Arabidopsis thaliana: one gene and its partners. The protein of the gene in region 1 interacts with the protein of each later gene in a pairwise test. Each region holds a gene or a part of one and is shown in the gene's direction. Other genes may lie near its edges.

Region 1 (11,474 bases):
TTTCTCCTTGCTCTCGTTCTTCTAGATAGGAAACTAGGAGACGATTATCTAATTTCTTAATCTTTGAGTCCAATTGGCACTATGCACCACTCCAAAAAATAGTCTTTGATCTGATTTCCACTACCACAGAGACTTATTTCCAGTTTCCTTCCATTTGAAGAAATCGAATGGTAATAATAATCTGAGTATAAGAAGATCACAGAGTTGTCGATTTCTTCAAATGGAAGGAAACTGGAAAATAAGTCTCTGTGGTAGTGGAAATCAGATCAAAGACTATTTTTTGGAGTGGTGCATAGTTCCAAGGGTTTGGTGATGGATAAAGTTAAGACTGTTGGAGACTCATCAGCAACAATCATCTGTGACGCAGTTTTCACATTGGTTGTGATTTCAGATAGAATAATCAAGAAAATGGCAGAGTAATCACAAGTATGACGATTGACTAAGAATGTGGAGTAATAAGAGTCGACGGATTCGAATGCCTGAATGTGATCAGGTCAGTCCATTGCATTTGTCGAATTCTCTTTTTTTTTGGAACTGAGACCATACGCGTTATGTCAAAAATCAGATTTTTTTTGTTTTGTTTTGGTGCATTCACTTAGAAGACTAAAAAGGAAAAACATTTCTATGGAAAATAGGAAATGCATATATATAAGGAAAGCCAGGAAAGGTTGAAACGTTGGGTTTGAACGTTTATTTGCGAGTAAGGAAACAAAATGGGGACATTTACATTCACTTTACGAAAAGTTTGTCTTTTGTGCTCAGATAAGGCAAGATTCAACCAACAAAAGAGAAATTAGAGGAACATGTGACTCTCTCCACGTCCTCATTTATGGAAATATGAGCAGAAACAGAAGGAAATTTCTAATTATTTGGAGAATTAAGGGCCAGATTAACCGCGTAATCACTCTCTCTTTTGGGCCACTCGTCTTTATCTTTTTACATTTGTCTATAGGAGGACTATGGTCTTCTTCTAGTCCCAAACTTGAGGTTTTAAGAATAAAACAGATCAGATTTTAGTCTATGTACTATATTCCTTTGAAGAGAGGAGACTTGCAAACGTATTGCATCAAATATGGAGTTTGGAAGCACTGAAGATGGAAGGCATGACAAGTTTCCTGTAGGAATGAGGGTTCTTGCTGTGGATGACAATCCAACCTGCCTTCGGAAACTCGAAGAGTTGCTGCTTCGTTGCAAGTATCATGGTACTACATATTCTTTGCTTTTGTTTTTTTTTACCTGTCTGCTTCGGAATTGGGGTGCATGGTCAATGATGTTTGATTGATTACGCCAGTGACAAAGACAATGGAGTCGAGGAAAGCTCTGGAAATGCTGAGAGAAAACAGCAACATGTTTGATCTGGTGATAAGCGATGTAGAGATGCCAGACACGGATGGTTTTAAGTTGCTTGAAATTGGTCTTGAAATGGACCTTCCTGTCATCAGTACGTCTCCTACCATTGTTTTTCATATCAACTCTAGCCCTTATTGTAACCTGCTTCATTGTCTCAGTGTTGTCAGCTCATAGCGACTATGACAGCGTTATGAAAGGTATTATACATGGCGCTTGCGATTATCTGGTCAAGCCTGTTGGACTCAAGGAGCTTCAGAATATATGGCATCATGTTGTGAAGAAGAACATTAAATCTTACGCAAAACTGCTCCCACCTTCTGAATCTGATTCCGTCCCAAGCGCCAGCAGGAAACGGAAAGACAAAGTCAATGACAGTGGTGATGAAGATGACAGTGACAGAGAAGAGGATGATGGTGAGGGGAGTGAACAGGATGGTGACGGGTCAGGTACGCGGAAGAAGCCACGTGTTGTTTGGTCTCAGGAGCTTCACCAGAAGTTTGTCAGTGCCGTTCAGCAATTGGGCCTCGACAGTGAGTTTCCCCATAGACCTCTTTAAACCTTTCCTTATGTGTGATGTCCACTCTTGTTTCTCCTATAGAGTTATTTTGATGCTTTCATGTGTGGGATCCTCTTTTCATTTCTCCTTGTGTTCATCACAGAGGCTGTTCCCAAAAAAATACTTGATCTCATGAGTATAGAAGGTCTCACTAGGGAAAACGTAGCCAGTCATTTGCAGGTACTAATTCCCCATTCTCTCTTGCATTTTTCCCCTTCTTTCGCAAATATAATCTTGGATGGTTAGACTTGTTTTATTCTCTGGTTTTGGTTGCAGAAGTACAGACTGTACTTGAAAAAGATAGACGAAGGTCAGCAGCAAAATATGACCCCAGATGCATTTGGAACAAGAGATTCATCTTACTTTCAGATGGCTCAACTTGATGGACTTAGAGATTTTACTGCCGCAAGACAAATTCCAAGCTCAGGACTCTTATCGCGTTCCCATCTCACCAAACTCCAACCCCCTATGTATTCATCGATAAATCTCCAAGGAATGAACTCCTCCAGCTTCATCCAACAGGGGCATCACCAGAACTCAAGCAATTCAGCTAATCCGTTTGGAACATATCACAGTACTCTGTCACCAAGAATCCAGAACGTGAATCTGTTTCAGCGAACTTCATCTCCACTAGAACCCCTCCAGTTTCCTAGAAGCAAGTCATACATTGGAGATTTTAAAGGCTTAGGGGACAGAGCTATTGGCGGTAGCTTCCTAGATACTTGTATGCCATTTGGTAGCTCTAGCACCTCTTTACCAAGTGCTTCCACCAATCCTCTAATGTTGCAAGCAAACTATACACAACCCCTGCATATAGCCTCAGATGGAATTCAGCCTTGCATCGAGGGAACTCCGTCCAACTCTGCCTCCCCAAACATCAGTTTCCAAGGCTTATCTAGATTTCCTGGTCATAGCTGGCAAGGGAATTTGAACACAACCAGATTCCCACCGAGTTCCTTACCACTAAATCTTGCTTTCTTGCCGGATCAAGTGACATGTGCAGGGAACAATCTGGGAGATTGTACTTCTTTGGTTTCTGCAGAGAATCCTGGTGGAGAGATGCAGTGTGATCCTCAATTACTTGGCGGCTTCATGCAGAACGTGAATCCGTTAGGCGGACAGAAATGGGAGCAACAGAACTGCACCATGCTGAACAATCCATTCGGTAACATTGAGTATCCTCTACCCGCAGATAACATGGTTTTCAGAGACAACAATTCAACCAGAAGCAAAGGCTTGGATGAGTCACTGATGAACCCAATAGACAACAGTCAAGAGTATGTTGGAAAAGCTACTACAATGCTGGATCCAGAGATGAAGTCGGGAAAGCCAGAGAATGACAACCAGCATGATGTATTCGATGACATAATGAATGAGATGATGAAACAGGTAACGCGGTTGTTTTCTTGATTGGATTAAAAGCTTTTGTAGTTTGTAGAAAATGAAAGTGAATGTGTTTGTTGCAGGAGGAGAATAACGGAATGGTGCCAGTGGCTACTAGATTTGGCTTTGATTCATTTCCTCCACCTTAGCTAGTCATCTCTTTCTCTACCAGTTGCATTAAGTTTCTCCACTTGAGACCATTTTCATGTGATTTTTTTAAATTTCTTCCCACATTGTTTCCTCCGACTGTCAATAGATCATAGTACACCAACCTGTTTCATACTCTCTTTTATGAATTGGAATTGAAAGCGAGCCTGTTACAAAAATTTATTTTATAAAGTTTCTGAATAAGTGTTGTTATTCAAAACCAATATACGAATAGTAATGGGCCTAATTGAGATCGTTGGTTTACATATGGAGCTATTTTGAAGTGTCAACAAGAAGAGATATTTAGATGTCGATAGGATAATTTGGTGGGGCCTAGAAACGGCTAGAGGAAGTCAAATCAAAATGTGACTGTATGGCCCATTGTATTGTATCCTTCTTCCCACAGAACAAGGAAGACATTTGTGTCCTCCACCTTTATTCACATTTGTAACTGCTAGACGCTACTAGAACCCTTGCCCTACACGCTTTCCACGTGGCATCCTCTCGTCCCAGCGAAATCTCCTTGATATTATTTTTTTATTTCCTTATAAAGAACAGAATCTCTTCTTATCCTTTTACCTCAAAGAAAACATCGAAATCTTAGAGAAGAAGAAAAGAAAAAGAAGAGAAATGACAGAGAAGAAAGAGATGGAAGTGGTGAAAGGGCTCAACGTGGAGAGATACATGGGCCGTTGGTACGAGATTGCTTCTTTCCCATCAAGGTTTCAGCCAAAGAACGGCGTCGACACTCGCGCCACCTACACCCTTAACCCCGACGGTACCATACACGTCTTGAACGAAACGTGGAGCAACGGGAAGAGGGGTTTTATCGAAGGCAGCGCCTATAAGGCCGATCCTAAAAGCGACGAAGCCAAGCTCAAAGTCAAGTTCTATGTCCCTCCTTTCCTCCCAATCATTCCCGTCACCGGAGACTACTGGGTGCTCTACATCGATCCTGACTACCAGCACGCTCTCATTGGCCAGCCTTCCAGGAGTTATCTCTGGGTTGGTACTCTTTTTTTTTTCTCTTTAACGAATAATCGAAATTGATCCCAAAAATGATTGACTCTGTATATGTGGGTGGTGTAGATATTGAGCAGGACGGCGCAAATGGAGGAAGAGACGTATAAGCAGCTGGTGGAGAAGGCAGTGGAGGAAGGTTATGACATCAGCAAGCTTCACAAGACTCCTCAGAGTGACACACCACCTGAGTCCAACACTGCCCCTGAAGACTCCAAGGGCGTTTGGTGGTTCAAATCTCTCTTCGGCAAATAGATTACACGGCACACAAAGACTTTGTTTCACCTCTTTGATCCTTTTGTCTGTGTAATATACTACCCCCTTTGTCTACTCTAGTTATCTTCCATCATCTGCTTTTGTCTATTTACGACATCTTCATCTAGTTATGCAAAGTCGTCTCTTTTACCATAAGGAAGCGCACACAAATTCAATCAGATCAAATCTGGGAAAGACAATTCAAATCTTGCAGAAGTTGACATTATGTATTTGGATAAACACACCACACGACTCGAGACTTATGGAATCAAAATAATGCATGCAAACTACAGACGGAATTATATGTATAGATAAGACGATAGAAAAAACAGTCTCCCCCCAGCAAAAGTTTGGTTGACTATATACCCAGCAGGACTTCCAGCTCACAGAATAGTACAGCATGAATTTGTTTTCTTCGCTTGCTTGTAAAACATCTGTTCCAACCAATACAACCAAATCAGATTTTCATGTTGGAAGTAAACATGGTTTACCTAATCTAAATAACGAAGAATATCTTGAGATTCCAGAGGATATGACTAATACATATGTTCCTCCCCATGGTCAGATGATATAGCAAAAAACACTATGATTCTTCGTAGCAAACCTAATAATTCCAAAATCCAACTGTATAGTTCAAACTGCACTCAAATGTCTGCAGGCTGAAGCAGAAAGCTTTTTCAAAGAAGGTATTCTAAATCCACATTCTTCCTCTATTTATCTACCCCAACAATAACATGCAATAGTTCCTCTATCAATCAACAACACTTATAAGCCTGCTAAATCAACAACCCTTTCTAACGTGTTCACCAACTATGCTCAGAGATCGAGACAGGGAAAAAAGGAAACTAAATCTATAAGAATTTCTAGAATGTGACTTTAGAATGTTACCTGTGATGCCATGCTCAAATCTGAGCTCTTCTCCACTAGGCTGTCCAGCTTCTCACCACGGGCTAGAACACTATCAATGGTTTTATGCTACAATACAGAACAAAAAATCAGTCTTACGGAGACAGGGACATCCATCATAACTACCAAGACTTTCTTCTTGTTTTGGTGTTTTTCAGAAGAAAGTAAACTCACCGACAGAACAGCATTTATGTATAATTGGCAAGTATACTGAAACTTAGAAAAGGAAGTACCGCTTATGTATAAGGGTCTACAAGAAAGGACCGGAGACAGCACTTACAAGGATAATCTTTGTCTCATCCAACTCCCTCTGGATTTTCAACAGCTTATCAGCCTCTGCTGGGTCCTGAAGATTACAAATACGGGACAATCCCAAAATCAATTTAAGATCAAATCACTCAAAATCCAACATGGTCATAAAACAATGGGGGCTACTAAAATTAATTCATGAAGAATGAATCATTCGATTGGATTCTAATGTCCACCTAACTGAGCTTAATATAACTACAGTTTTAACAAAATTCACAGTAAAAGAGCGAATACAGTTGCACAAGTGAAGAACCTGAAATTTGTTTAAAGCTTCGGTTAAGTATGGCCAAGGCTGATTGGAGTCTTCTTTTGCAGACCTCCATGACTCACCAAAACTCTTCTGGTACTCATCTAGGACCTGAGACAAAATTAAATGTCAAGCAACCCAAATTACAGGAAAACTTACGAATGATGCATTGAGAACCACTTTCAACATAATGATATTACCTGATTGAGAAGAGAGAAAGCACTTCGAACAGGGTAATGATCGTCCATGAAACCCACCGCGCAAAGGCCATTTCTATTGTAAGCGTGAACCTTGTACTCTAAACCAAAAACAAAATAAAAACACGAACCCTAATTATCCCAAATTCGAGGACTAGAACAATAAGATAGAATCGCAAGAAATTAAAGCCGGGGCATAGTCCAGGAAGATCTAGAATCAGAAACGGTGCACATCCTAAATCATAAAAGTTTCAAAATCGAAAAGCCGATCCGAATTTAGAAATCGAATAAAAATCAAAGAGGAAAGGAGATTGCATTAGATCCGGGAGAAAGAAGATTTGAAAACAATCGATCTAGAGAGGTAGAAGAAGAAGGAGAAGAACCTTCGTGTTGAACAGACTGGCGTTGGGAAGGAGGGGTTCGGCTAGCGACAGTGCGACCGACAAAGACGACGAACTCCTTGACGCTAGATCGCTGGAAATAACCGAAGTGAGAGACGTCCGAAGCGTTGGAGAGGATGACGGGATCAGAAGCTTCGGGAGCGCACTTGAGAACGAGCAAGGCGGTGATCTTCATAGCTGCGGTGGATCCAAGGTTGCGTGAGAAGGAAGCGAGGAGGAGGAAGAGAAGAGGCTTTGGACCTGGATTCCTTACTCGGAGATGCTAAAGGCAAAACAAGTTTTGAGGTGTCGAACCAAACGCAGACGCCTTCTCATTAACATTGAATAATGAATATATACCCTCTTTTTCTTATTCGCTATGTTGAAGTAAAAATTAAAAACCTTTGGTTCAATTCAATTTTATGTGGGCAGTCTCGGTTCGGTTTAGCATATATTGATGCAGAATTGGACCGGAATCAAAGATTTTTCCATCACATAGAATTGGATTTTTAAGAATTTTAAGTCTAGGCAAAAACTGAAACCAAAGAATATTTTAATTTTTGCCAATCGAGTTTTCTTATTAACGGAATATTGGTTTGGTTTAGATCGGACAACTTGGTTTGGTCCGAATGCCAAACTCTAATATTGTCATTTTAACTACATACATGTATGACAAATGAATATAGTACAAAGTCCAAAACTGAGGGGTGTTACACCCATTTGTGCAAAGAAGATGTAAGAAAGCATCAAAAAAAGAAAAAGCGGTTAAGAAGGGAATGGTGGAGAAGAAGAGATAAAAATAGAAAGGAGTAAATGGCCATAAATGGAGGATATGAGAGCAAGTTACTTTTTTTTACCATTAATTAACCTTGTTTGACCCATCTCCTCTTTCTCTTCTTTTTCCTTTCCTCTAACTAAACGAGGAAAACAAGCAGGAGAGGGGATTCATGTTCTTTTCTCGCTGTAAGATCTCTCTTTCACAATTTTCTTAAATGTGACAATTCTGTTTTTGTTACATGTATCCTGACTTTGCTTTTCCATTGGGGTACGTACGTTACACACAAATGCAGGATCAATCAGATAGAGATGCTGAGGTTTTTCATTCTTTTCTCCCTTTTCTTACACTCTTCTGTTGCGGCACCCAAGACTCCTGCTGCTGCCGCAGCTGTTCCTGCCAAGAAATGGCTTACCCTTAACGGTAAGCATCCTTTTACAGAGTATGCCCATATTGCATACTACCATGTTTTTTTTTTTGTTGTTGTTTAATGTTAAGACTTAAGATACCATGTTGTTTGTTTGTTTCTAAGAATCCGTACCTGTCTTTTGTCTTCCAGGACAAGAGCCTGCCGTTGTGGCCAGAGGGGGCTTCTCGGGTCTTTTCCCTGAGTCAAGCATCTCTGCAAACGACTTGGCTATTGGCACCAGCTCGCCTGGCTTCACAATGTTGTGCAACCTTCAGATGACTAAGGACGGTGTGGGCCTTTGCTTGTCAGATATCAGACTTGACAATGCAACCACCATCTCCTCGGTCTTCCCCAAAGCCCAGAAGACCTACAAGGTCAACGGTCAGGACCTCAAGGGCTGGTTTGTCATTGATTACGATGCCGACACCATATTCAACAAAGTCACTCGTATGTCTTCTTCTCTTTCATTTCCTCCCTTCAATGCTCACCACCACCACCACACATTTTCATGTTTTGTATTATTGAGCAGTGGTCCAGAACATCTTCTCTCGGCCTAGCATCTTCGACGGCCAAATGTCGGTTTCTGCAGTGGAGGATGTCCTTGGAACCAAGCCTCCCAAGTTCTGGTTGAGCGTTCAGGTATGTTTTCTTCTCTTTGAGAACATGATTAACCAACATATGGAGCTTTTTTGTTGATTCATCAAAACAACAAACAATGCAAATGTGCAGTACGATGCCTTCTACATGGAACACAAGCTGAGCCCAGCCGAGTACCTGAGAAGCTTGCGATTCCGCGGCATTAATGTCATCTCATCTCCAGAGATTGGTTTCTTGAAGAGCATCGGGATGGACGCGGGCAGGGCCAAGACAAAGCTCATATTTGAGTTCAAAGACCCCGAGGCAGTTGAGCCCACCACCAACAAGAAGTACAGCGAGATTCAGCAGAACCTCGCAGCCATCAAGGCCTTTGCTTCAGGCGTTCTTGTGCCCAAAGACTACATTTGGCCCATTGACTCAGCTAAGTACCTTAAGCCCGCCACCACTTTTGTGGCTGATGCTCACAAAGCCGGTCTAGAGGTCTATGCTTCAGGGTTTGCCAACGACTTGCGCACCAGCTTTAACTACAGCTATGATCCCTCTGCTGAGTATCTCCAGTTTGTGGACAATGGCCAGTTCTCTGTTGATGGTGTCATCACCGATTTCCCGCCAACAGCATCACAATCAATCAGTGAGATGACTTGCTATATATGTTTCCTCAGATAGCTGATTATTAAGAAGAAGCTAAAGCGTCTGTTTTCTTGCAGCTTGCTTTTCTCACCAAAACGGCAATCTCCCCAAAGCAGGGCATGCATTGGTTATAACTCACAATGGAGCAAGCGGAGACTATCCAGGCTGCACTGATCTGGCTTACCAGAAAGCAATCGACGATGGAGCAGACATAATTGACTGCTCTGTTCAGATGTCCAAAGACGGAATCGCTTTCTGCCATGATGCTGCAGACCTCTCAGCAAGTACCACCGCCAGGACTACTTTCATGTCCCGAGCCACCAGCGTTCCTGAGATCCAGCCTACCAACGGAATCTTCTCTTTTGATCTTACATGGGCCGAGATCCAGTCTGTGAAGCGTAAGAAACTGATTTCTTTTCTATAGATTTCTTAAACTAATCTTATTCTCAACTAAGTCACTGAGCATTGGGATATCTTTGTCTTCAGCACAAATAGAAAACCCCTTCACTGCCACGGGCTTCCAGAGAAACCCCGCAAACAAGAACGCCGGGAAGTTCACGACTCTTGCGGACTTCCTTGAGCTCGGCAAAGCAAAGGCAGTCACCGGAGTTTTAATCAACATTCAGGCAAGCCATTTAACTTCCAAATGCTCCTTGACTAACACAAGGAAGCTCCACTAACACTGTTTTTGTTGACAGAATGCTGCTTATTTAGCCTCGAAGAAAGGCTTAGGAGTCGTAGACGTAGTCAAGTCTGCTCTTACAAATTCCACACTCGACAAGCAATCAACCCAGAAGGTTTTGATTCAGTCGGATGACAGTTCAGTTCTATCTAGTTTCGAGGCTGTCCCTCCTTACACAAGAGTCTTGAGTATCGACAAGGAGATCGGAGATGCTCCTAAGACATCCATCGAAGAAATCAAGAAGCATGCAGATGCTGTCAATCTCTTGAGAACTTCCCTCATCACCGTCTCCCAAAGCTTTGCCACGGGGAAAACTAATGTGGTAGAGGAAATGCACAAAGCGAATATCTCTGTATACGTCTCGGTGCTAAGAAATGAGTACATCGCCATAGCGTTCGACTACTTCTCTGATCCTACGATAGAGCTTGCAACATTCATTGCAGGGAGAGGCGTTGATGGAGTCATCACGGAGTTCCCTGCCACCGCTACCAGATACCTAAGTAAGTTTAAACTTCTACAAAAAAACAAAAAACAAAAACATTACCAAGATAAGGCTGATCAATTATATTTGATGCAAATGCAGGGAGTCCATGTTCAGATTTGAACAAAGACCAGCCCTATGCCATCTTACCTGCAGATGCTGGAGCTCTACTCACCGTGGCAGACAAGGAAGCACAACTACCAGCTATTCCCCCAAACCCACCTCTTGATGCCAAAGACGTGATTGATCCGCCTCTGCCTCCAGTTGCAAAGTTGGCCTCCAATGGAACTGAAGGTGGTCCGCCACAAACTCCTCCTCGTTCAGGCACCGTTGCCATTGCTGCTAATCTCAGCCTTTCCTTGCTGGCAATGATGGCTTTGGGACTCCTTTATACAGCCTAAAGAGATTGATCACACCATATAACCTCATATAGGTTGTAACATGTTTGCCCTCAGCGTTTTCAAACTGACACAACTTGAGTTATCTATGTTTTACTCATGTTAACCAAAATATGCATCAAACAGTGATTTGTTGTTATAGATCAAAAGCTCTACAGAAACTTTCTTTGTTGTCATAGGAATGTTTTTTTCGGTAAAGATTTTGAGTCTTGATAATCTTTCATATTTTATTTACGATCCTTCGTTACCACAGTCTCTACTTTCATAGTTGTTGCTTTCTGATAACTCACATTGTTAACACTAATGATCAAGACCAAAGGCCGAGTACAAATTTAAAATAGTAACAAAATTACTACAGTATATAATACAGTGCTGTCAAGTATTTTTAAAATATTCTCGCTCTCTCCGGAGGCGCTAAGTATAAGAACAAAACTAAAAGACCAATAATCTTTGACAAAAGTTACATCAACTACTACAAGAGTATTCTCTCAGAGTTATCCTTATGCGTATTCCCTCCCTATTCTTACACAACTTCGCTCATCCCACACATACTCTCCCTAAACACCTAAATAATCTCCATTGAGCTTGATCTTTCATCGCATTACTGCTACAACTGCTCCGTGGGATGGGAGAATCTCATGTCATCCGTTTAAGCATCGTAAGCTACATTGAGAATCAAACTTTCCTCAACCCAGCCAAAGAGGGCCACAGTTCATCGCTTTTTATTTCAACTCCAGTTTATGACTCTCAGC
Region 2 (11,908 bases), on another chromosome or scaffold:
GAGAAAAGAGAACCCTTTGATGATTGTGAACCAGGGATGTGAAATATATGCTTGCTTAACACTCTTAAATTATTCTCAAGGAATCTTTCGATTGTGTTCTTAGGATTCAATTAGTAATAGACTTGAGTGTGTTTGACATATCTATTGGGCTTCGATTGTTTGTTGCGTTTACATGTTATAATAGGTTTTTATTTCTTGGTTCAAACGAAACCAAAACTTAAAAGTAAATCATTTTTTTCTACTGAATTTTGTTTTTGATGCTTTTGATTTCATTTGATCACTTCAACTTTAGTTCCAGGGTCTTGACGATTTAATTCAAAAAGCAAAAAAATCAATAGGAAACAAAAACTCATAAAGGACTTTGACATACAGATGGGCCCATTGTTTATGACCAATCCTTATACTATATATGGGCCTTATTAGTTAAACCTAAGGCCCAAAGTCAGATTAGGGTTTTCAGAAAGTGTACTATAAATTCTTCTTCTTTAAACAACTTCGTCTAGTGGAACGACGACGGCACAAAAGCTTCACCGGAGATCAGAGACGCGAAAATGGTAAATTGTTTCTTCTCTTTCGATGTGATTTTGGAATTTGTAAAGTTCGTTGACTTTGAAGAACAACAATACATGGTTGATTGATTTATTGTATTGTTTTTCAGATCTATCATAAAAGTTTTCAATCTAAATGATGTTTGTATTTTGATTAACCTTAAAAGTCTCTTGATTTTGTATGTGTGTGAGTGATTCATTTTTGATTTTATGAATTTTGAAGGTGAACATTCCAAAGACAAAGAACACTTACTGTAAGAACAAGGAATGCAAAAAGCATACTTTGCACAAGGTTACCCAATACAAGAAGGGTAAAGACAGTCTTGCTGCTCAAGGAAAGCGTCGTTATGACCGTAAACAATCTGGTTATGGTGGTCAGACTAAGCCTGTCTTCCACAAAAAGGTAACATTGATTATCATGCATTGATTGTTTTTTCAGTTTGAATTAGGTCTAGTTAGTTGAAATGAGGTAGTTTTAAGGAACCATTTATAGTAGAATTTTGGAAGTGAGCTGTGAGGAAACAGACATTCCAATAGTCTCAGTTTTGGACTGAGATACATCTTGTGAATCTTGTTAACAGGCTAAGACCACGAAGAAGATTGTTTTGAGGCTTCAGTGTCAAAGCTGCAAGCACTTTTCGCAGCGTCCTATCAAGGTGCATAGAACATAGATCAGTTCATTATACCGGATTTGTAACTTGGTAATTTGCTTACATTGTGTTGGTTTGTTGTTTATTTCAGAGGTGCAAGCATTTCGAGATCGGTGGTGACAAGAAGGGAAAGGGAACATCTCTGTTTTAAGTTGGTTTCATCTTATTTTCTGCGATTTTTGTACTTGCTGGATTTGGAATCCATTTGTTTTAGCTCTCTCGTATAAGATTGTCTCATCTTTGCTTGTTAACTCTATATTTTGAATCATCAAGATATGGTTTTGCTGTTAATCATTGACCTTCGATATTTTTTTGCCAATCCGTTCTCTCTACCAACCTAAGAAAAAATCACTAATATCTCACATTAGAGGGTGCAAAATTTGGAAGGTCTATATCATTGTCCAATTTTCTGAGTCATACAAATTCTTTCATATGATTCATTGAACAAGACACTCATTTACTTATAAAGCGCATTTATATGTTCACATGATTTGTACAAAACTCATGAGACTGCATCAAGCAGAAAGTATTTATTTATCTTTACATGTCAAAGCTTTGAGAATTAAGCAATGACGAATACCCTAAGTTCACCTCTGTCCCCGCGAGTTATGCGCATGGTATCATCAACATAGGTAACTTCGAAATCCCCAGTTCCAGGGTTTGACGATGGTCTGAAACTGTCGGGAAGCCTCGGGATATCAAACGGAGGAATCTGCGACAAGTTTCCCGATGTCTTCACAGTTGTTTTCTCAAATGTTATCTTGATCTTGCAAGTGCCTGTTTTCCCCATAAATGTCAAAGATACAGATAAGTTATTTTGCTCTTACACAATTCGATAAACTTAATGAGAGAAAGGGAAATGCAAACCTAAGAGTTCAAACTTGTGTGCCAATGTCGCAGTGGCTTCTAATGGCGGAAATGGCCAAGGGGCTCCTAATTCCACCTCTGCTATGTTATCAAAATCTTTGCTAAACACATCAATCCGTTGAAACACCTGTTTTAATGATTCAGAAACAAGAGATAATATTAAAGAAGTTTGCTTTCTACCGATTCAGGTATGGTTCTTTGCCAAATTTAAACCAAAGAAAGCTAGATTCTAAGCTCATCACCATTCAAACTCAACCAAGAATAAAGATGATTGACTAAGACCGTACACATAAACTTGGCAATATAGAAAAAAATGATTAAGGAGTAGATGACATTGCTAGATTCTAAGCTCCTCACCATTCAAGCTCAACAAAGACTACCAATGATAGACCAGACCGTACACATAAACTTGACAATATAGAAAAAAGTTTGCTTTCGAGTATAAGATGACATTACCAAATTGTAACCTCAGAAAGCTAGATTCTTAGCTCAGCCCCATTCAAACTCAAGCAAGACTATTGATGATAGACTAGACCATGCACATAAACTCCTCAACAACTTACCCGAAAAACCGAATCTTGACGGGTAAAAACAGAGCAATGATTCAAGAATTACCTGGCCAAGAGTAACAGGGATCAAACGTCCAGTAGGTAGACCAGGACGGCTACCACCTAAAGACCGAGAAGAGAACGCACTACTATACAACAGCCTCCATTTCCCTTGAAGCTTATCAAGATCATCGGTTAAATCAACCGGTCCCCCAGCAGTTTCAAGTTCTTTAGCAGCCACTTCAGCTCTTTCTAAATCATCAACACTCGCCACAAGTCCTCTGTTTAATCCCGAAACTACACTCTGCAATTTCTCACAACACAACACATCACAAATCAAATCTGAAAAATCTTCCCAAAATTCACTCTATAATCGAATCTTAACAGTAATATAAACCCTAATTCCAAAGAAACGAAACCAATTTCTTATAATTTCACCGATTGGTTTGAATCAGACTCACAAGTAATTTGAGTTTGAGTAATGCAATTTGCTTGTCGTCTCCTCCTGATCCAGATGATGATGGTGGTGGGTCACTTTCTCCGCCAATGGATACTTCAACGAGAGACGAATTAGCAGCGAGGTTTCTCTTCTCCGGTACAGTGAAACCCAAACGAGACGATTTTGGAGTAGTTAAGGGAGAAAAGGAGTATCTGATGGATGGTGGAGGAGAACGGTGGTCGGAAAGAAGAGCTGGTGGTGAAGGTAGTAGTGACGAGAAAGTAGAAGAAGTCGCCATTGTTGAGAAGGAAAAAAAAACGAAGAGAGTGAGATAATTTGTAGAGAAGAAGAAGAAGAAGAAGACTTTAATTATTATGTGATTTGAGAAGCACCACGGGTTATTAGCGCGTATACGTGTGTGCGTAAACGAAATTGCATATTACTTTCTGAGTAAAATGATGTCGTTTTGTGCCACAAAATTTTAATTTGCTTTGGTTGTATTATTATGGACCATATGCAGTACTTTGATTTTAATCTATGTAGATAATACTAGATTAAGACCCACATATATAAAATTAAATATTGATTTTATTGATGTAAAACATATAAATTTCGACCATAGACATTGCCCAATTTTTTTTCTCCTTTTTCCATTTAAGTATGGCCCAATAAAGACCCACATCGTATGTTTTGTCACTCGGAGGCAGCATGATCCAATACTTATATACAGGTGTGTTTTTCTCTTTTAGTCATATGACATTCATGCCTTCCATTTATTTGGATATCATTTTAGAACAAATTTTTAGGCTTTTAGTAGTATATAAAGTTTGAAAATAATGTAACTTCATATCCAATATATATTTGTCTTTTGAATTTCTTTTGCTTAGTTGGTATCCATTCTAGTTGTCTATATTGAGTTAAGTTTTTTTGTTTTTTTCTGAAAGAAAAAATTAAACATTCATCTTGGAGATTACGTGAACATTTGCCGTGTTCTCTTTATTTGGGGAAATCTCCCAGTTTTATGGAGACATTTCATATTTAATCAATAAGGTTTGGTTGCTATGTTCTTCTTGTCTTAAGAAATCGTCCAAATTTTGTGGCATTTAATGGTTGGAACTGCAAAATTGTGTGGCTAGAACTGCAATTTATGATAAGCTTTTAGCAGTTTGGTTCGAAATATATGTTTGGTGAACAAAAGATATTTACAGTATGAGAATAGTAGCTGATATTAAAGTTAAGAAGAGAACTTGGTACTGGAGCTATAATGGTCAAGCTAAGACGATGTAGATATAATTACAATTTGGAAGAAGAACAAGTTGAAATATAAGAATATAGAATTGCGAATTGCGAATAATGAAAAGATAACTACTGCAAGAGATTAAGAACAGATTATGGATAACCACTTGTGTTTATATTAGGCTTGCATTAAAAGCTTTGATATGCTTAGTTGACGTTTTTGTGCTTAGTTCTGCCGTTTTCTGTTTGTGTCCATGAATCCACGTGTTAAACCATCTGCTGTACAAGGTTTTTTAGTCTTTCAATTTCCCAATTTGTGTTATTTGCAACATGTAAATGCTAATGACAAGCTACATGTTAATGCTGGAAAAGAAAAGTAGACGTTAGTTCGAATGGATCTAGATGATTCTATACGTACTATTCGATATTCGATCTTCTATTTTTTTCACTATACTCGAAGACATTGGTGCAAATTAAATATTCTAACTAGATGTTGGTTGTTAATTTTTCTAATTATTTAGTATTTGTTGCAGTGTCCCACGATTACATGAAGTTATATAGTAATTTAATAATAAATATGATAATAAAGATATTGAAAACCCCTAGTTTATCACTTTATTGGTTAACCAAAAATTCATTAATGATTATACATAAAGAGGTCTTTGGTTCGAGTCTCAGATACTACAATTTATTATCAGATTTGCAGATTTATGGAGACAAGTGTATAAGAAATCTTCAACGATATATAATTATAGCCATCATTGAAATTCTCCATCAAAAGCATAAAAAAAACGAAAGAAATGCCGTCTCTCGTGAATCTAATAAAGGCGAAATGAACTTTTTGTAGCAAAATTGTTTATATAACAAAAACATGATAATAAAGATAACTTACGCATAAAATATCGGTAGTTTTTAGTATCCGCGTATAGTTTACTTAACTAAAGGAAATATGGTATTATGACTTTTTAACACAAGATTTTAACTGGGCAGAAAGTAACATGAACGGAAAAGGTCTACAAAGTGGGGTTATCTTGAAAATGCCGTATATAACCTGTTATCGCTATTTTACTTTACATTATCGCTTAATTAATTAATGACAACTTGTGACATCTTTAATTGCGTCCAACAACATTTTTTTTGACTTTTAAACAATAAGCTATAATGACATTTTATTTTTAGAAGCTATACTTACACAGTGACACATAATAATTCAACTAAACAACCCACTGTACCCGATTGAATATTTTACAAGCCATGAAGGTTTTAAGAAGATTTTGTTGCTGATGCCTCGGCTAGCTTGAAAATGTTTTATGGATTTTACGCAAACACGTCATTTTGACAGTGTTTTAGAGATTTGTTTTTGTCTACAACTAATATATAATTAAGCTTTGGAGCCATTGAAAATATTTGGTCGATAAATAATAATCACAAAGTGTACCTCAATCATAGAAATGGAATGCTATGGTCCATATAACTTGAAATATTGTAGTCATAAAATTACGATATCACCTAACGGAAAATAGTCTTAACATTTGAACATAACATGTGTTCAGAGAAGTTATAAATAAGTGTTCAGAGAAGTGATTTTTTATTTCTAAGTTATAAATAAGTGTGAAAAAGTAACTTATGACTAAAAAATATTTTGTGAACTTTTTAATATTATTATTTTTGCAAAACAACGCACTATATATGTACCTCGTACACTCTAATTAGCTCATCCACCACGGTAAAATTTATTTATTATTTTGCATTTTTTATTTGGTTAAGCTGAAACATATCATTATCACCAAGCAATTATATATGTACCGATAACCCATGCTGAGGAAATTTTCTAACCAAACCTTTGGGATCAGAATATATATTAGTAAATAATCATACTTTAACTTAGATTACACTAAAAACTAGTTATCGTTTTAGAGTTTTTTTTGTCTGACGAGATCTCGGATGCTTCGATTACACCTGACTTGTTAGATGGGATGCATGACCACATTTTGGCTAACATGGCGTGCAAACGATGACGTGGAGGCAACTGATTGGCTCCACTGATTCCCACAAATTTGTTGCAAAATCAAAAGTAGGGCCAGACTAATTATATTATTTTTTTGTGGATGTCTATAATATGAAATTTGAATCAATACGTAATTTATCGATTCTTTGTCTAATCGATGTCAACTAAATTTAACAAATTATCTGGAAGTCACTCAACATTTTCCTTGATAATGCTAGTTTCTTCGAATCTTAAATGAGGCAACGCATTGTCCATTGAAATTTTAAGCATATAGTGTATATATGTATTTATTTTTCTAGCAAATTCAAAACGGCCTGGGATCGTTTGGTTTGTAATCAATATATGGGTTTTTTTTGGTCAACAATCAATAATTAGTATTTTTGAGAATTCATGAAATACTGGATGAGTAAATGAGATAATTTTTATGGATGATCACTAGCACATGGTTGCTAACCAGTGAAGCACCTAAAAAATCACTGCAAAAAAGTTTGTAATCAATTTCGTTGCAGCTAAGCAACATTTATGACTAATTTGAGTAAATATTAATTGACGATCCCATGAATTTCACCTAATTGACGAGTCCCTAGATTTGTTTTAGAGTAAATTTTACAACTTCATATACTTTACATTATAATTAACAAACTAAAAAACTCGTAAACCAAATAAGACTTTGTCTAATGGTCCAAGCATGACCTCTCCAAAGATATAATATGTTTTGATATATACGTGATAACCGATCAGATGTTGTATATACATATTAATGTGTATTAATTTCTTCATATAATATTTACAAATTTTTGTGAGAAGATATCAAGTACACGTATATCGAATAAGAAAAGCTAGATTGTGTAAAACGTTACGGGGCTTGTGCATTAACTCACAAGTTGGCTATCACAAGTTTCAAATTGTGGTGTTTAGAGCATCGCAGTTGTCAAACAAAAAAAAAAAAAAAAAAAGAAAGAGTATCACACGTGATTGTTTTCCATAACTATGAGAACTTTTCTGACTATTTTCTTCTTTTGTGCCTTTGTTATGTTTCTTCAATCATTACTTAATTATTAATTACTAATCGATTTTCGTTGCCTGTAGTTTTCACATGTTGTAATCTAGAAAACTGAAAAAGACTTTCCCCATAATAGTCTCTGCTAACTACATACTAGTCCCTATATTTTGCAATTTTAAGTGTTTTTAACCACTATCTTAGAGACTCTAAACATGAGGACCCTAAAAAATAACCATCATCTTAAATTGTACGTAAGAAATATATTCAATCTACATCAGATGATACCAATAAAATTCGGCATATAAGTAGAATTTGAAAGAAACAACAACGTGGGTAGATATGCACCATTTACAACAACAAAAAAGAAAAATCAATTTTGGTCCAACTTTTTCATATACATTTAAATTGTCAATTATCATCATAATTAGTAATACGACAAACTGTCGTATAAACTAGAAAAATACATACATCTACTATCTAAAACGACAGATAAAAATACGTAATCATCAAAAAGAGTTAAAAACAAGTTTTGGGGTTCTCTTAGCAATTTTGTTTTATATGTCTATTTTTATGTAACGCGACAGCTGTAACGTTGTGTCTATATATATACTAACAGAGTTTGTGCTTCGAAATCTTAAGAACTTTCCCAGTTTTGTTTTTTAATCATATCAAAGCAAACTGTGTGATGGATAAGTACAAAGTCGCCGGAAAATTTGGTCTCCCGGACATCACGGTGGCAGAGATGGAATCTTTAGCTAGCTTTTGTGAAGCTGTCTTGCCTTCAGTGCAGCCACCGCCGGAAGAGCTTTCCGGTGAAGGTGATAACCATCGGAACAAAGAGGCTCTCCGGTCATTTTACTCAACTTCTGGGTCTAAAACTCCTGTCCTTCGCCAGGTTCACACACTTTTTCTTTATATTCATCAAATGATCTGTTTTTTTAACAAAATGCTAAAGTTTTGACACTTTCAAACAAAAAAACACAAATCAAGAACGTGTGATATTTGAAGATTTGTTTTGATTTGTTCGATTAGTTAAAAGGATTCGTATTGATCGAGTTCCAATAAAATCCTTGTGGTTCTCTTTTGACTTCTATAGACCTTTTAAATGACAAAAATATCTAGCTCTTTTTGTTTTTTTAACGTGAATATTATTAGTCTAGGTTTCGGTCTAAAATTAATTGCGGTTATTAAAAAGACCTTAAGGTTTTGAGTAAAAAGTGAAAGATTTGTTAATGGATGCAGAGCATTGAGCTGGTCACGAAACGAGGGACAATAGAAGCTTATATTGCTACTAGGCTTATATTGTTCTTGCTTGCTACTCGGCTTGGGACGCTTCTCATTTGTGGAACCGAGTGTTTGGTCTCAAGATGGCCTTTTGTCGAGAAATTTAGTGAGCTCTCGTTGGAGAAGAGAGAAAGAGTACTTCAGAAACAATTCAAGAATTGGATTCTGACTCCAATTAGAGCTGCTTTTGTCTACATCAAAGTTGCATTCCTCTTCTGTTTCTTCTCCCGGGTATGTCTCAAATTCTCTCTGTTTTCTCCAAACCTTATCTCAACCACATAGATTATGTTGTTCTGTCCGGATAAAACAGTCTAGTACAAATCCAAATAATCGAAAACAGAATCGCATGGTTTAAATTCATTTACTTTCTATATAATCCAAAAATTGATTACAAATAGAGCCAAAAAAAACTAGAAAACGTATCAGTTTTATTGTTTTCTAAATTAATGATGATCTCTAAGGAAAAAATCATCCAAATTCATATATACTAAAATTAGAAAATCTTAAACCTGAAACCGTACGTAACGTATTCATATGAGATTTGTTTATAACTAAAATTTACTATTTTACTATACATAAACAATTTGATCCCATTATTAAAAACTTTGATCTTAAATGAGTACCAAGCGATTTAACTAGATCATTTTCTGATTTGGTTACAATAAACCGATCCAAAATTTTGAGAATCGTGAACTAAACCAAAATCCGGATTCAGAGCCTATATTATATATGTTAACTCTGTCGTAAAAACAGAGCTACTTATAGAAAATGTTCAAGAATTTATGGATATGTCGTTTCTTTTGTGTAGGTGAATCCAAATGGCGAAAACCCGGCATGGGAAGCCATAGGGTATCGTGTTAACCCCGATGAGAACAAACCTTCTGAAACTCATAACGAAAGACCACTTGAGAAAGGGATAGTGGAGACGATGGAAGAAACAGAGCAGACTCTTCTTGAATCACTTGCTCATAAAGGCCTAGAAGCGGTTCTTGACACGGAGCATGATGCGATCAGAATAAAATGTGATGTTGTGGTCGTCGGGTCTGGTTCAGGAGGAGGCGTAGCAGCTTCTGTTCTAGCGAAATCTGGTTTAAAAGTGGTTGTTCTTGAAAAAGGAAGCTACTTTACGCCTTCTGAACATCGTCCTTTCGAAGGTCCTGGCTTGGATAAACTCTACGAGAATGGAGGGATTCTCCCGAGTGTTGATGGGAGTTTTATGGTGTTGGCTGGAGCAACTGTAGGTGGTGGATCTGCTGTGAACTGGTCTGCGTGTATCAAAACCCCGAAGTCGGTTCTTCAAGAATGGTCAGAGGATCAAAATATACCTCTTTTCGGTACTAAAGAATATCTAACGGCTATGGAAGTTGTGTGGAAGAGGATGGGTGTCACGGAGAAATGTGAACTGGAGAGTTTTCAGAATCAGATTCTGAGAAAAGGTTGCGAAAATCTCGGGTTCAATGTTGAAAACGTGCCAAGAAACTCCTCGGAGAGTCATTACTGTGGATCTTGCGGGTATGGATGTAGACAAGGAGACAAGAAAGGAAGTGACCGGACTTGGCTTGTCGATGCGGTGGGGCACGGTGCCGTGATTCTTACTGGATGTAAAGCGGAGAGATTCATACTCGAAAAGAACGGTAGTAACAAAGGAGGCAAGCAAATGAAATGTTTGGGAGTGATGGCTAAATCTTTAAACGGAAACATAGCAAAGATGTTAAAGATTGAAGCTAAAGTAACGGTTTCAGCAGGGGGTGCTCTTTTAACACCTCCGTTGATGATATCTAGCGGGTTGAGAAACCGAAACATCGGTAAAAACCTTCACTTACACCCTGTTTTAATGGCGTGGGGTTACTTCCCGGACAAGGAATCTTCTAACATCAGTTTCAAGGGAAATTCATATGAAGGCGGGATCATAACATCAGTGAGCAAAGTGTTATCAGAAGATTCTGAAGTCAGAGCAATCATAGAGACACCGCAACTAGGACCAGGTTCGTTCTCCGTTTTAACTCCTTGGACCTCTGGGCTTGACATGAAGAAAAGAATGGCTAGATACTCAAGAACCGCGAGTCTCATAACCATAGTTAGAGACCGCGGGTCAGGAGAAGTTAAAACCGAAGGCAGAATAAACTACACCGTGGACAAAACCGACAGAGATAATCTCAAAGCTGGGCTTAGAGAGTCGCTAAGGATACTAATAGCAGCTGGAGCAGAGGAAGTGGGAACTCACAGAAGCGACGGGCAGAGACTAATATGCAAAGGTGTCAATGAGAATTCGATCCAAGAGTTTTTAGACTCGGTGAGTACAGAGGAAGGAGCAAAGGGAATGACTGAGAAATGGAACGTTTATAGCTCAGCTCATCAGATGGGAAGCTGTAGAATTGGAGAAAATGAAAAAGAAGGTGCAATAGATTTGAATGGAGAGAGTTGGGAAGCAGAGAAGTTGTTTGTGTGCGATGCAAGTGCGTTGCCTAGTGCTGTTGGTGTTAACCCTATGATCACAGTCATGTCTACGGCTTATTGTATCTCCACAAGAATCGCTAAGTCCATGACCACTGGTTTATCTCATTGAACTAAAATAACGTATACTTTCTATTCATCCTAATCAAATTTATGTGTAACCAACATGATAATTCATAGTTAAAGACTCTTCTATTGATCATGTCTACTAATAAAATCCATGTTTTGGAAACGTTATATTTATTCATCTAATTAGAGTGTTATAAAATATTGGACTAATCAAGTTGCAGTGAACTTGGAACATAAGAGCACACAAGTGGTCGGAGATTTTGGTTTGGAGATTCTCCAAGATCCACTTCTTCAAGGATCCATCCTCTCCAACGATGTAAGCTGCATTGCACATCAACTACTTCTTTTTGCCTTTATCAAAAACCACTGCAACTTTCTTCTCCTCATCAATGAAGAAACTTGCATCACTAAACGAAAACATAGAGTAACGGCCGGTGAGTTCTCTCATATCCACTGATAAGAAGAACTTGCTGCTCCATGACACCGTGTTGGGCTCAATCTTAGTTGTAACCCAGATCTCCATCTGTAATGTATCCATACGCTGAAATAACACCGCAAGCTGCTCATCTCTAACATTAGATAATAACAGAGAACTCTTGAAGATACCACTCAAAGGGCGGCGAAGGCAAACCGCGGCCCAAATGTCTCCCTTGTGAAATCAAAACAGAGTAAGAAACTATGGTCTCCTTGTCTTGGGATTTCTGAATATGCCTCTTCAGCAAGCCAATATGTATTTCCTTTGAGAGAGGCACCAGACACAAAACGGTTATAGTAACCTATGTTCCAGTCTCGAGATTGACCC
Region 3 (10,217 bases), on another chromosome or scaffold:
AAAAAAACTATAAAATTCCAAAACAATATGCAGTCAAATATAAAACTTTTGGGAATTAGATTAGTCAATTTTATGGCTTTTCGTTTGGATTTTATTATAGACTTCCTTTGTTATATAGGAAGCATCACAACCTTAATGTTAGTTGAATTTTACTCAAAATCATTTATCAGAAGTAACGACAAGCGTCAAGCAACACGTCTTCGAAGTAAATTTAGAATTTTGTGCAATAAAAGCAAGTTTCCTTGACCCAGCCAGTTTTGCTCTAACGGTTCTAGTAAGATTAATTAATGATCGTGAGAAGGACAAAGTCAATTTTGATTTTGATAATATTTTAATCAAACCACATATTCAAATCAAAAGAGATCTACTTTTATCTTGGAAAATAATAGTTCAAACCAAACAACCTAACTACAAGTCTTCAGATCCTACAACCAAGTTTGGTTTGAACTAATAGTTTTTTGAAATCGAATTTTTGAAAATTATATGGTGAAATATTAGTCAAATAAACCAAGTTTATTCATAGTGAAGGTCCAAATATAAACATGTTTGTGTGATTTTATCTAATTTATTAAAAATGGTGTAAATAGTTAGTGTACCAGAATAAATTACGATAGTAATCTTGAATATCAATAGATCTCAAGTAAGAGAATCATATCTTAGAGTTCTATTGTTATCGGAGATCAATGGATTCACGTTCAACAAAAACTTCGTTTGAGAATATTCTTCTCAATGATTATCAAAAACTCGTTAATTTTAATAATCAAATCAACAACCTTACTATAGCAAAAGTATTTATACTCGTTAAAACGAAAATCATAGATAGGTAAATCTGGAGAATAAGCAACTCCAAACTGTCTTAACACCAAATATATCCATTTATAATTGAAAAAGAAAAGATGATCCTAAAAAACATAATTAAGATAGAACTAAAAATAACTTATGAACCAATATCGAGAAGACAAATTTGCAAAATTAAATAAATAAAATAAGGAACCTAACATATTTGAGAAACGAAGTTGCAAAGATCCACTCCATCAACTAAGCGATCATGAGTACCTGAAAAATTAAATCTAGAGTTATTGGCATCCCACCAAAATCCTATAATATCGTCTGTCTTGTAATTGTTTCGTTGGAGAATCATACTCCATCCATGAAATTGAAAATCTCCATTTGCATCTTCTTGTACAGTAAGAGTTGTTACAATTTTAGTTTCAAAATAAAAAAAGTCCAAATAACCTATGAAACGATTCTTAGGCAGTAAAGGTAACATTTTGGTTTCTACTATCTCTTTTGAAAACGTTATCATATTACTCAAACCCACATCTGATGGTGTTAACGTTATCAAGATGTTGAAAGAGGTGTCTGCATTAAACGGCCTATCTGAATACAGCTCGGTGTCTACCATGAGTTAAAACACAAAGATATATAAAAATATAGGTTTTAAAGTGTTCTTTACTTCTTAGAGATCTAGGTAAAATTTGTGTTAATAAAATTGGTCATGTGCTAAGCATACATATATAATGATAATAATTTGTGTCGAGTGGGTAACTGTAAGACCTTGTCACTATAAGAAGATAAGATTTTATTTAATTATTATCATTGGATTCACTATTAATTGAACTTCATTTCTTGTTGTTCTTTTTTCTTAGACAGAAATTTGAACTTATTAATTTCTCTTAATCAAAGTAACACTAAAGCAATGTTATAGGTTCTTAATTTACAAGAAATTTTGATGACTTTAGTAATATCATATAAAATAAATAAATAAAATATTTTTAATTATTGTTAGAGACTTTTCTATAATCTTGTTAATTAGTTTTTCACAATCTTGTAAAGTTTCTCAAACAATCTTTCTATTTTGATGATACTTTTTATGACTTCATGTTGCGAAGAAAAGTGTAGAAAGTTATAAACAATAACATAATAACTTAATTCATTAACAAACATAGATTCTTTTGTTTGATTGAATAACACAAAACTTTTTATGACTTTATAAAAATATGAATCCAATTACTCCAAATTTACAAAGATTTTAGATCATTATTTACAAATCTTAAAATTAATAACACCAAACTTTATAAGAATCTTGATTGAACAACAACAGATTCTATGTAATATTTTATTAATTCATTAAAACTCTATTTAAATCAGAAAACCTATAACACCCCCTAGTTTTGTCTAATTTTCATAATAATATGACATATGTAGATTTATAGTTAACTGAATTCTAACAATTGTTAAAGTACACCAAATATTTGACATACATTGCTAGTAAAATACAAATAGCTCGAGGAAATGTACGAGCCCACGACCCTTCCAATTATCAAAAGCATTAAATTACAAATAAAGTGAACCTTCAAACTAACTAAGAGAAATATCCAAAAATAATTGCTAGTGTGTTTGATTCTAGACAGAAAATGGAATTTGCTAAAATGTGCTTTGAGAAACTTTATGGTGTAGACACTTCAGAAGCCAAGGAGATGTATAATTCTGTTTATGATGTCATGAAGGCTATGCTGAAGGAGTACACTGTTATTTTCAAGGGACCAAACACACAATCATCTCAGTCTAATCCGCCTTCATCTACTGCTGCCAGAGATATTTTTGCATGTGAGTTAGCTGAAGATAGTAATGTTGAGTTTGAAAGGATGGACAGGTCTTATAAAGAGATGGTTAATGAAATTAGGGTTACTGATCCTAAAGATGAGTTAGATATATATCTGAAGGCAGAGGTAGAAAATCCTAAGACTCTTCCTGGAATGGAGTGGGATGTCTTGTCTTGGTGGAGACTCAATAGTCAGAAGTATCCAGTTTTATCAGAAATTGCAAGAGATGTACTTGCAATGCAAGTGTCATATGTCGCATCTGAAAGTGCTTTTAGCACCAGTGGTCGTCTTTTGGAGCCAAGTAGAAGCTGCCTTACTCATTATATGGTAGAGACTTTGGTTTGCCTTGAGCAGTGGTTGAAAAGTGAAATCAAGCTGAGTGAAAACACTTTTCTAACAAATACACAACTTCTTGCTGATATAGAATTACTTGATAAGCTTGAGAAAGGTAACTTTATCTATGTAGTTTACTAGTTTTAGTTTTAGATGTTGTTTGAAAACTCTCTTATGTTCTAACACAACTTGGGTGTTGATTGAATCTTTTTCAGAGTTTCAAACTGAAGTGAATTTGGACTAAAAGACTAATCAAGGAAACGACTACAAGGTAACTTCATCACTCCATTTTGTTTTCTTTTACTTCTGAACTTGGTTTATAGCTCAATGTTAATATACTAGACTTATGAATCAACGATCATTTCGTATTTGACTTTTACTTGGTTTATGGTTTAATGTTTATTATGGTTTTTTATTTTTCAACTGAGCTTATTTGGTTTTGATGTAACAGGAACAAGTCATGGGGAATCTATCATGTTTGGATGTTGCTTTGGATTTGAACTTCTTTCTTTACTTTGAATGCTTTGGATTCGATTCTAAACGATGTTTTTATGTCTTGCTTTGGATTTGAACTTCTTTCTTCTATTTGAATGGTTTTATTTGGATGTTTTGAATCTTGCTTTTTGGGTTGAACGTATGAAACTTTTATTATGTCATGCTTTATTGATTTTACTTTAAGTTTTTTTTATTACAAATTTACAGGTTTTATGGTATATGTGGTTAGTATCAAGTATGTTCGGGTATATTATAGTAGTTATAAACTAGTATCGAATAATATTCGGTTACTTTTTGGATTTTTCAATGGAAGTACCAATACCTACCCAAACCCAAAATTTACCGGATCGAACCCGAACCGAAGTTTTCAAATACCCGAACGGGGTCTAAAATTATAGTTCCGAAAAATCCGAACCCGAAAAAATCGATCCGAACCCGAACCGAATACCCAAACGCCCAGGACTAGGAGAAAAATACTCCTATCAACCAAATGAGTGTATATCAGACGATGTGTACGGACTAGCTTGATAATTAGTACAAGCGTCAAACAACAATTTTTTGAAATAAATTTAGAATTTTGTGCAATAAAAGCAAATTTCTTTGACCCAGCCGGTTATGCTCTAGTAAAATTAGTTAATGATCGCTAGAAGGACAAAGTCAATCTTGATTTTGATAATATCCTAATCTAACCAGAGTAATTACAAATTAACTGTATATGGCATAACCGATATTTTGGTAGTAATTGATTTGGCTCCTTATTACCATAAAGAAATAGAATTTTATTATAAAGAGATCAATTTTCTGATAGGTTAACTATACTAAGCTGATTAATATCAGTGTTGCGTGATTATATGGTATATTACGATTTGTATATCTTATTAAATGTGGATTATTTCTTAAAGCTTTTACTATGACACTAGGAATATATAACATTAATTTTCGTTTGATGTCGAAAATAATGGTTAGGTGAGATATAACAATCATAAACTAAATTAAAATAATATTTAACTTATCACGAATATTGTTCACATTGCTAACATACTAGCATGTATCCACATAGTATTGTTCACATTATAAGTAGAAAATTCTTATTAAAAAATAAAAAAATCACTACATTTTTTAATGCAATTTTATTGTTTACCTCCTAAAAAACAGATCAATTTCATAAAATAAAAAATAACTCGTAATAAAATTCCTCAAAAATAACCGATTTTGTATTATTTACTTTTTTGTCAATCGATATAAATTAGAACTAAAAAAAGTTAATCCCGAAAGATATTATTTATATATATGACATGATACGATCGATTTTATATCTATTTTTATCATTATTACCCCCGTTATTTCACATTTCTTATAACCTTTTGTTATTGTATAATTTTTCTTTTTATTATCAATCGGAACAAAGAAATACAGAAGTTAAAAGCAAAAGTAGTAAATATTATTAAACAATTATTGCGTGTAAAAATAGTGTATATGTGATCGTGTACAAAAGTACATGCATAACATGATCAATATAGAATGCAATACAACTATACAAATGTCAACAATCTACAAACACGTTTTAACTTTGAAAAGCAATCTAAAATTCATGAATCTAAATATACTCTCTGGCAGCTTTCTTATTACCATATCTTAAAGATTGAACCAAATAAATAAATTTACATCATTAACCAAATTAAACCATCCACATTTAATTTAATTACAACAAGTAAGTAAAAGATCGTCTCTTTCTTCTTTCCCGGAAAATCCTCTCATTTTTGACTTGCTCAATTTTGCTTCCTTAAGACCCAAAAATCCAAACCTAACCCTAATCGACATTTTCTCCGATTTCTAAATCCTCCTCCGGTGAAAATGTCTCACCTTGATGATCTTCCTTCTACTCCCGGAAAGTACAAAACCGATAAAGTTCCACCGTACGGGATTCTCCACCACCACCGTTACCTCCGTCTCTCAAAACTCACCCTTTGGGCTTCTCTCTTCCTCGCTCTCTTCCTCTTCTACCTCGTTTTATCTCCTCCTCCGTCACCATCTCGCCGGAATCTCAACGATTCTTCCTCCATTTCCGCCGCGAAATACGGCGGCTCTCACTGGGAGAAACAAGTCCGTAAATCCGCTCGTCCTAGGTCTCACGGCGGTTTAACGGTATTAGTCACCGGAGCTTCCGGATTCGTCGGTACTCACGTCTCGATCGCGTTACGAAGACGCGGCGATGGTGTTCTAGGTCTCGACAATTTCAATCGATACTACGATCCAAAGCTTAAACGAGCAAGACAAGGCCTTTTAGAAAGATCAGGTGTTTTCGTAGTCGAAGGCGATATAAACGACGCCGTTTTACTCAGAAAGCTCTTTGATGTTGTCCTCTTCACACATGTTATGCATCTCGCTGCTCAAGCTGGTGTGCGTTACGCAATGCAAAACCCTGGCTCATATGTTAACAGTAACATTGCTGGGTTTGTGAATCTATTAGAAGTATCGAAATCAGCGAATCCGCAACCTGCTATAGTCTGGGCTTCCTCTAGCTCTGTTTATGGTCTGAATTCGAAAGTACCCTTTTCGGAGAAAGACCGTACCGATCAACCAGCGAGTTTGTACGCAGCTACGAAGAAAGCAGGTGAAGGAATTGCGCATACTTACAATCACATCTACGGATTATCGTTAACGGGTTTGCGGTTTTTCACTGTCTATGGACCTTGGGGTAGACCAGATATGGCGTATTTCTTCTTTACTAAAGATATTCTTAAAGGGAAGACGATTACTGTGTTTGAATCTCCTGATAAAGGTAGTGTTGCTAGGGACTTCACTTACATTGATGATATTGTAAAAGGTTGTTTAGGTGCGTTAGATACTGCTGAGAAGAGTACTGGTAGTGGTGGTAAGAAGAAAGGTCCTGCTATGTTTAGGATTTATAATTTGGGGAATACTTCTCCTGTTCCTGTTACTAAGCTTGTGACTATATTAGAGAAGCTTTTGAAGATGAAAGCTAAGAAAAAGATCATGCCTCTACCGAGGAATGGGGATGTTGAGTTTACTCATGCCAATATCACGTTAGCGCAAGCAGAGCTCGGTTATAAACCTGCGGTTGATCTTGAGACGGGTTTGAAAAAGTTTGTGAAATGGTATATGGGTTTTTACACTGGCTCGAAGAAGAAGAGTTCTTGGTGAGCTCTGTCTCTCTGCTTAAGTCATGGTCTCTGTTTCCCCTTGTTGAGCTTGGAGTTCGCTCTAGGTTAAGCTTTTGAAACCGAGCACTTGCATTGCCAGGAAAAATCACTTACGTATCTGCATTGTTTCTGTGTTGCTAGATTTTGCTTCATTTATTTGTTAGTAGATTTTGAGCAATGTACAGCTTCATCACTTAGATGTTTCAATTGTCGAAACTCAATTGTCTTTTCCATCATGTCGGAGGAATAAAGTAGCTTGGATTTTGATGCATATACTCTGTAGTAATTCAATCTATTGTCACTTGTTTCTTGTGAATTCAAACATATATTTATTCTTATTCTGACCAATTTTTACATAGCTCTAATCACTTGACTAACGATGATGGTTTGGAAGAACAAATCAAATCACTGCATAATCTTATAACAAGAAACAATGAATGTTCTCTAGCCTGAAGTTTATGTAATATGCCAATAGATTCACAAGATTGTTCTCTAGCCTATACCATGTTATCTTCCTCTGCGCAATCAACCACGACATATGCGATGATGTTATCGACAAGTTCTTGAAGATCCAACACCATCTTCAGTATCGATCTTCCACCAGTCAACACCATCACCAATCTCCACAGGTTCCACCTCTGTTCCATTCTCAATCTCATCATCATAATCAAACTCGTAATCCCAAACACCGCAAGAACCACCTCTCTCTTTCTCCAAAGCAGGATCATAAGTCCACTCCAACTTCTTCAACACATCTCTATCCTTCCACTTCCCCACAACTTTCTCAACTTCCTTCTTCGCCTTCCCCATCGTCACTTCCTTCCACGAATACGCAACATCCGCTACTCGCTTCAGCGCACCTTCGTTCGAATCTCCAATCACAACCGTCCTCAAACACCTCTCCTTAGCTTCCCACAAAATCCCCGCAAAATCAGAATCATCAGACACTAAAACAACACACTCCACTTCTCTCTTATCCATCACTTCAACCAAATGTTCCTTCAACGCCTTATCAGCAGCATCTGGCTTATCACTAACCATCTTCACCCAAAAACCAGCTCGTTTCAGCTCATCAGCTAAACCGTAACCTTCCTTCGGAGTCAAAACATTCCTCGCCGCTCTTTTATACTTCTCAATCTTCATCGAATACTTAGCCACAAGTCTCACTCTTCGATGTCCTTTCGAAGATTCAATCTGTCTCATACGTTTCTGATTCTCTGTCTCATGAATCTGCTTGAAATGATTAATTAGCTTCTCGTTAGTGTAGAATCTCCGGTCACAAACACCGCAGAAGTAAGGCTCCGGTGGTTTAACTAAACCTTTGTTCTCTAATTTGTTTAGCAATTTCCTATCTTTCCTCTGTTCTCGAACTTCTAAAGGAACGTAGCTAAAGGCGTGACGATTCGCATACGCCATCATTAGCTTCACGGTTCCGAAAGACGACGCGGCGGTTCGGAGCTTGACGGCGGCGTCGTAAGGCGGGAAAGAGGCTGGTGGTTTGTTGTCTAGATCCCACCAAACCCCTACTCGGATTTTGGGTTTAGGGTTTATCGAGCTAGAGCTAAAGCTAAAACCTTTGATTGAATTGAGAGATGTGGTTTGGGTTTTAGGTCTCCAACTTTTTAGGACAAATCTTGAAAACATCGCCGGGATCTTTAAAATCGACGGAGAAGATGGGGGCTTCAAAAAACCCGGTTTACATTACATACCCGACCCGGATCCGATTAGAGTTCGGCGATTCTCATGTAAGTTCAATCTGGAGCAAAGAAGAAGACGAATTGAAATACAAAATATAACACCTATAACCCTGAACTTTGTAAATGTTACAATTTTCTTCCTTAACTTTATTAGGGAACAAAACACACCACTGTTCATAGAAAATTATCAAATTTCTACTGCATTAGGTTATTACTGTTATTGTTTTGAATACAGTAAAAGATAAAAACAAATAAATAATGAGCGACTAAATTTTAAAAGAGCAAAATGTGTAAATAATAGAAAGCACATTGGTTTAATCCCAAAACCCAACCAAAGTTTTCTTCCAAAAGTGTAATAACTTGAAACATACAGAGAACTCTTGCTTTGTCTTACAAACTTATACAAAAAGTCAAGAGAAACCAAAACAGATCAAAGAAACCCAAAAGTAAAAAGATTTAAACAACAAAAGAGGTAATAAATAAATAAAGAACACTAAACCAATTGTCTGGAGATAAAACCACCACCGTGAACCAAAACCAATGTACAGTAACACAATGTGAAAACCACACAAGACTGATAAACTTCACCAGCGAGTTGAACTAATATGAGGTTGTTCAATGATGAACTCAGTAACTGAATGGTGTCTGTGGGTAAAGGCGGATCGTTGGAGCTTCCGGAACTTTCTGGAAATGTCGGTGATTGATCTGAAGATGAGCTTCCAGAGTCTTGAGGCATATTGTTGTTACGGTCGTCCTTCTCCTCATCACTCTTCTTCTTGCTCTGGCTGCTACCGTCTGTGCCATCTGCGCCGCCTTTTGGAATGCTTTTAACCACTTCGGGTCGTGGTTCTACTCCTACCCGCCTTAAGTGTAGCTGAAAACATAAGAGTGAGATTCATCATAAGAATATAATGTTTTGATGCAGTAACATGATGTTCCTTTACCAAGCAATAAAACCGGTTTGATTGGAAAAAAAAATCCCTTCAACGGTATGAAATCTAAAAAATAGGTAGAGAAGTTTCAAGTTTCTTTAAAAGTTCATAATTTCTTGAAAAGAGCCTTAGGAGTATATAAATTCGGCTGTCGAAACTGAGTATATGTATACTTCAAATTTGGCTTTAGATACTGAGTAGATATGTACCTGTAGATGCAAATTGACTTCGTCGGGCCGTGATAGGAATGGGAAATCTCCTCCACTCTTTAAGTAAGCTCTCCTTGCTTCAGGATACCTCTCTGTTAGTTCATCTTTAAGATGTTGTGGTATTGCGCAGTAATCATTTGTCTGATTTGGAAGACATAACAGCATTGTTAGACAACGATAAAATTACTTGCATTGATAATACGAAAAGTCCCGTATATAGCTAATCGAAACCTACATCCATTATAGTAACTGAAGAATCAGAGAGTAGTAGAGATCCCACGGAAGCAGCATCCACAGTTAAAGTTAACCGGGAAGCCAAATCATCTTTCGACAATGTCTCCACCTAAATCAGAGTAAACCAAAGAAACCGAGCTGGTAAGTTTATCTAAAATTCCTTGTCCACATGTTATTCAGATCCGTTCAAGAAAATATCATAGATGAAATAATCAGGATAGCAACCTGAGAAACAGCAAAGTCGACAGAGTCAGCTATAAAGGGTTCATGAGGTCCGTCACGAATTCCTGTTAAGACGTATCGTTTAAGCAAAAAAGAAGGGGTCCAACTGACACTGCACAGAGCATCACGAAAAGCGTTGAGAGTCAGTACAAATACTTAGGCACAAACAATAAAAATAAAGAAGGAATAATCGTATAAGAGAGACATACAAAGGAGCCCATGGCATTGCAGTAGCAAAAGTACGAGTATCCAAATATGTATTTGATAGAACTAATGATTTAACCCGCCTTGGACGGTGATGAGCAAAGAGTTGTGCTAAGAAGCC

Evidence for each region.
Region 2: the proteins of SVL4 (region 1) and FAO3 interact in a protein complementation assay, tested with the Arabidopsis thaliana proteins (one large-scale study listed by BioGRID).
Region 3: the proteins of SVL4 (region 1) and GAE5 interact in a protein complementation assay, tested with the Arabidopsis thaliana proteins (one large-scale study listed by BioGRID).

The regions. Positions count from the first base shown.
Region 1 is NC_003076.8:23,493,749-23,505,222, reverse strand, and holds SVL4 (SHV3-like 4), read left to right. Parts: upstream 1-7,621; 5' UTR 7,622-7,713; intron 7,714-7,820; 5' UTR 7,821-7,836; coding exon 7,837-7,948; intron 7,949-8,084; coding exon 8,085-8,381; intron 8,382-8,463; coding exon 8,464-8,573; intron 8,574-8,663; coding exon 8,664-9,162; intron 9,163-9,238; coding exon 9,239-9,559; intron 9,560-9,647; coding exon 9,648-9,787; intron 9,788-9,859; coding exon 9,860-10,343; intron 10,344-10,426; coding exon 10,427-10,725; 3' UTR 10,726-10,974; downstream 10,975-11,474. Other genes in the region: RR18 (response regulator 18), read left to right, coding at 1,073-1,202, 1,292-1,441, 1,509-1,880, 2,010-2,086, 2,183-3,295, 3,373-3,438; TIL (temperature-induced lipocalin), read left to right, coding at 4,067-4,441, 4,526-4,711; YKT61 (SNARE-like superfamily protein), read right to left, coding at 5,095-5,145, 5,600-5,686, 5,898-5,963, 6,180-6,284, 6,374-6,463, 6,532-6,605, 6,754-6,946; FIP1[V] (FIP1[V]-like protein), read right to left, coding at 11,223-11,279.
Region 2 is NC_003074.8:8,374,876-8,386,783, forward strand, and holds FAO3 (fatty alcohol oxidase 3), read left to right. Parts: upstream 1-7,796; 5' UTR 7,797-7,984; coding exon 7,985-8,194; intron 8,195-8,455; exon of another isoform or gene 8,456-8,535; coding exon of another isoform or gene 8,536-8,541; coding exon 8,542-8,814; intron 8,815-9,391; coding exon 9,392-11,149; 3' UTR 11,150-11,306; downstream 11,307-11,908. Other genes in the region: AT3G23390 (Zinc-binding ribosomal protein family protein), read left to right, coding at 552-554, 772-951, 1,130-1,204, 1,290-1,349; FIB4 (Plastid-lipid associated protein PAP / fibrillin family protein), read right to left, coding at 1,761-1,975, 2,066-2,192, 2,681-2,917, 3,075-3,350; AT3G23420 (F-box and associated interaction domains-containing protein), read right to left, coding at 11,398-11,427, 11,471-11,755, 11,907-11,908. UniProt on the Arabidopsis thaliana protein: Long-chain fatty alcohol oxidase involved in the omega-oxidation pathway of lipid degradation.
Region 3 is NC_003075.7:7,285,920-7,296,136, reverse strand, and holds GAE5 (UDP-D-glucuronate 4-epimerase 5), read left to right. Parts: upstream 1-5,016; 5' UTR 5,017-5,288; coding exon 5,289-6,599; 3' UTR 6,600-6,945; downstream 6,946-10,217. Other genes in the region: AT4G12240 (zinc finger (C2H2 type) family protein), read right to left, coding at 7,148-8,242; AT4G12230 (alpha/beta-Hydrolases superfamily protein), read right to left, coding at 8,789-9,169, 9,437-9,577, 9,672-9,779, 9,896-10,004, 10,102-10,217. UniProt on the Arabidopsis thaliana protein: Involved in the synthesis of the negatively charged monosaccharide that forms the backbone of pectic cell wall components.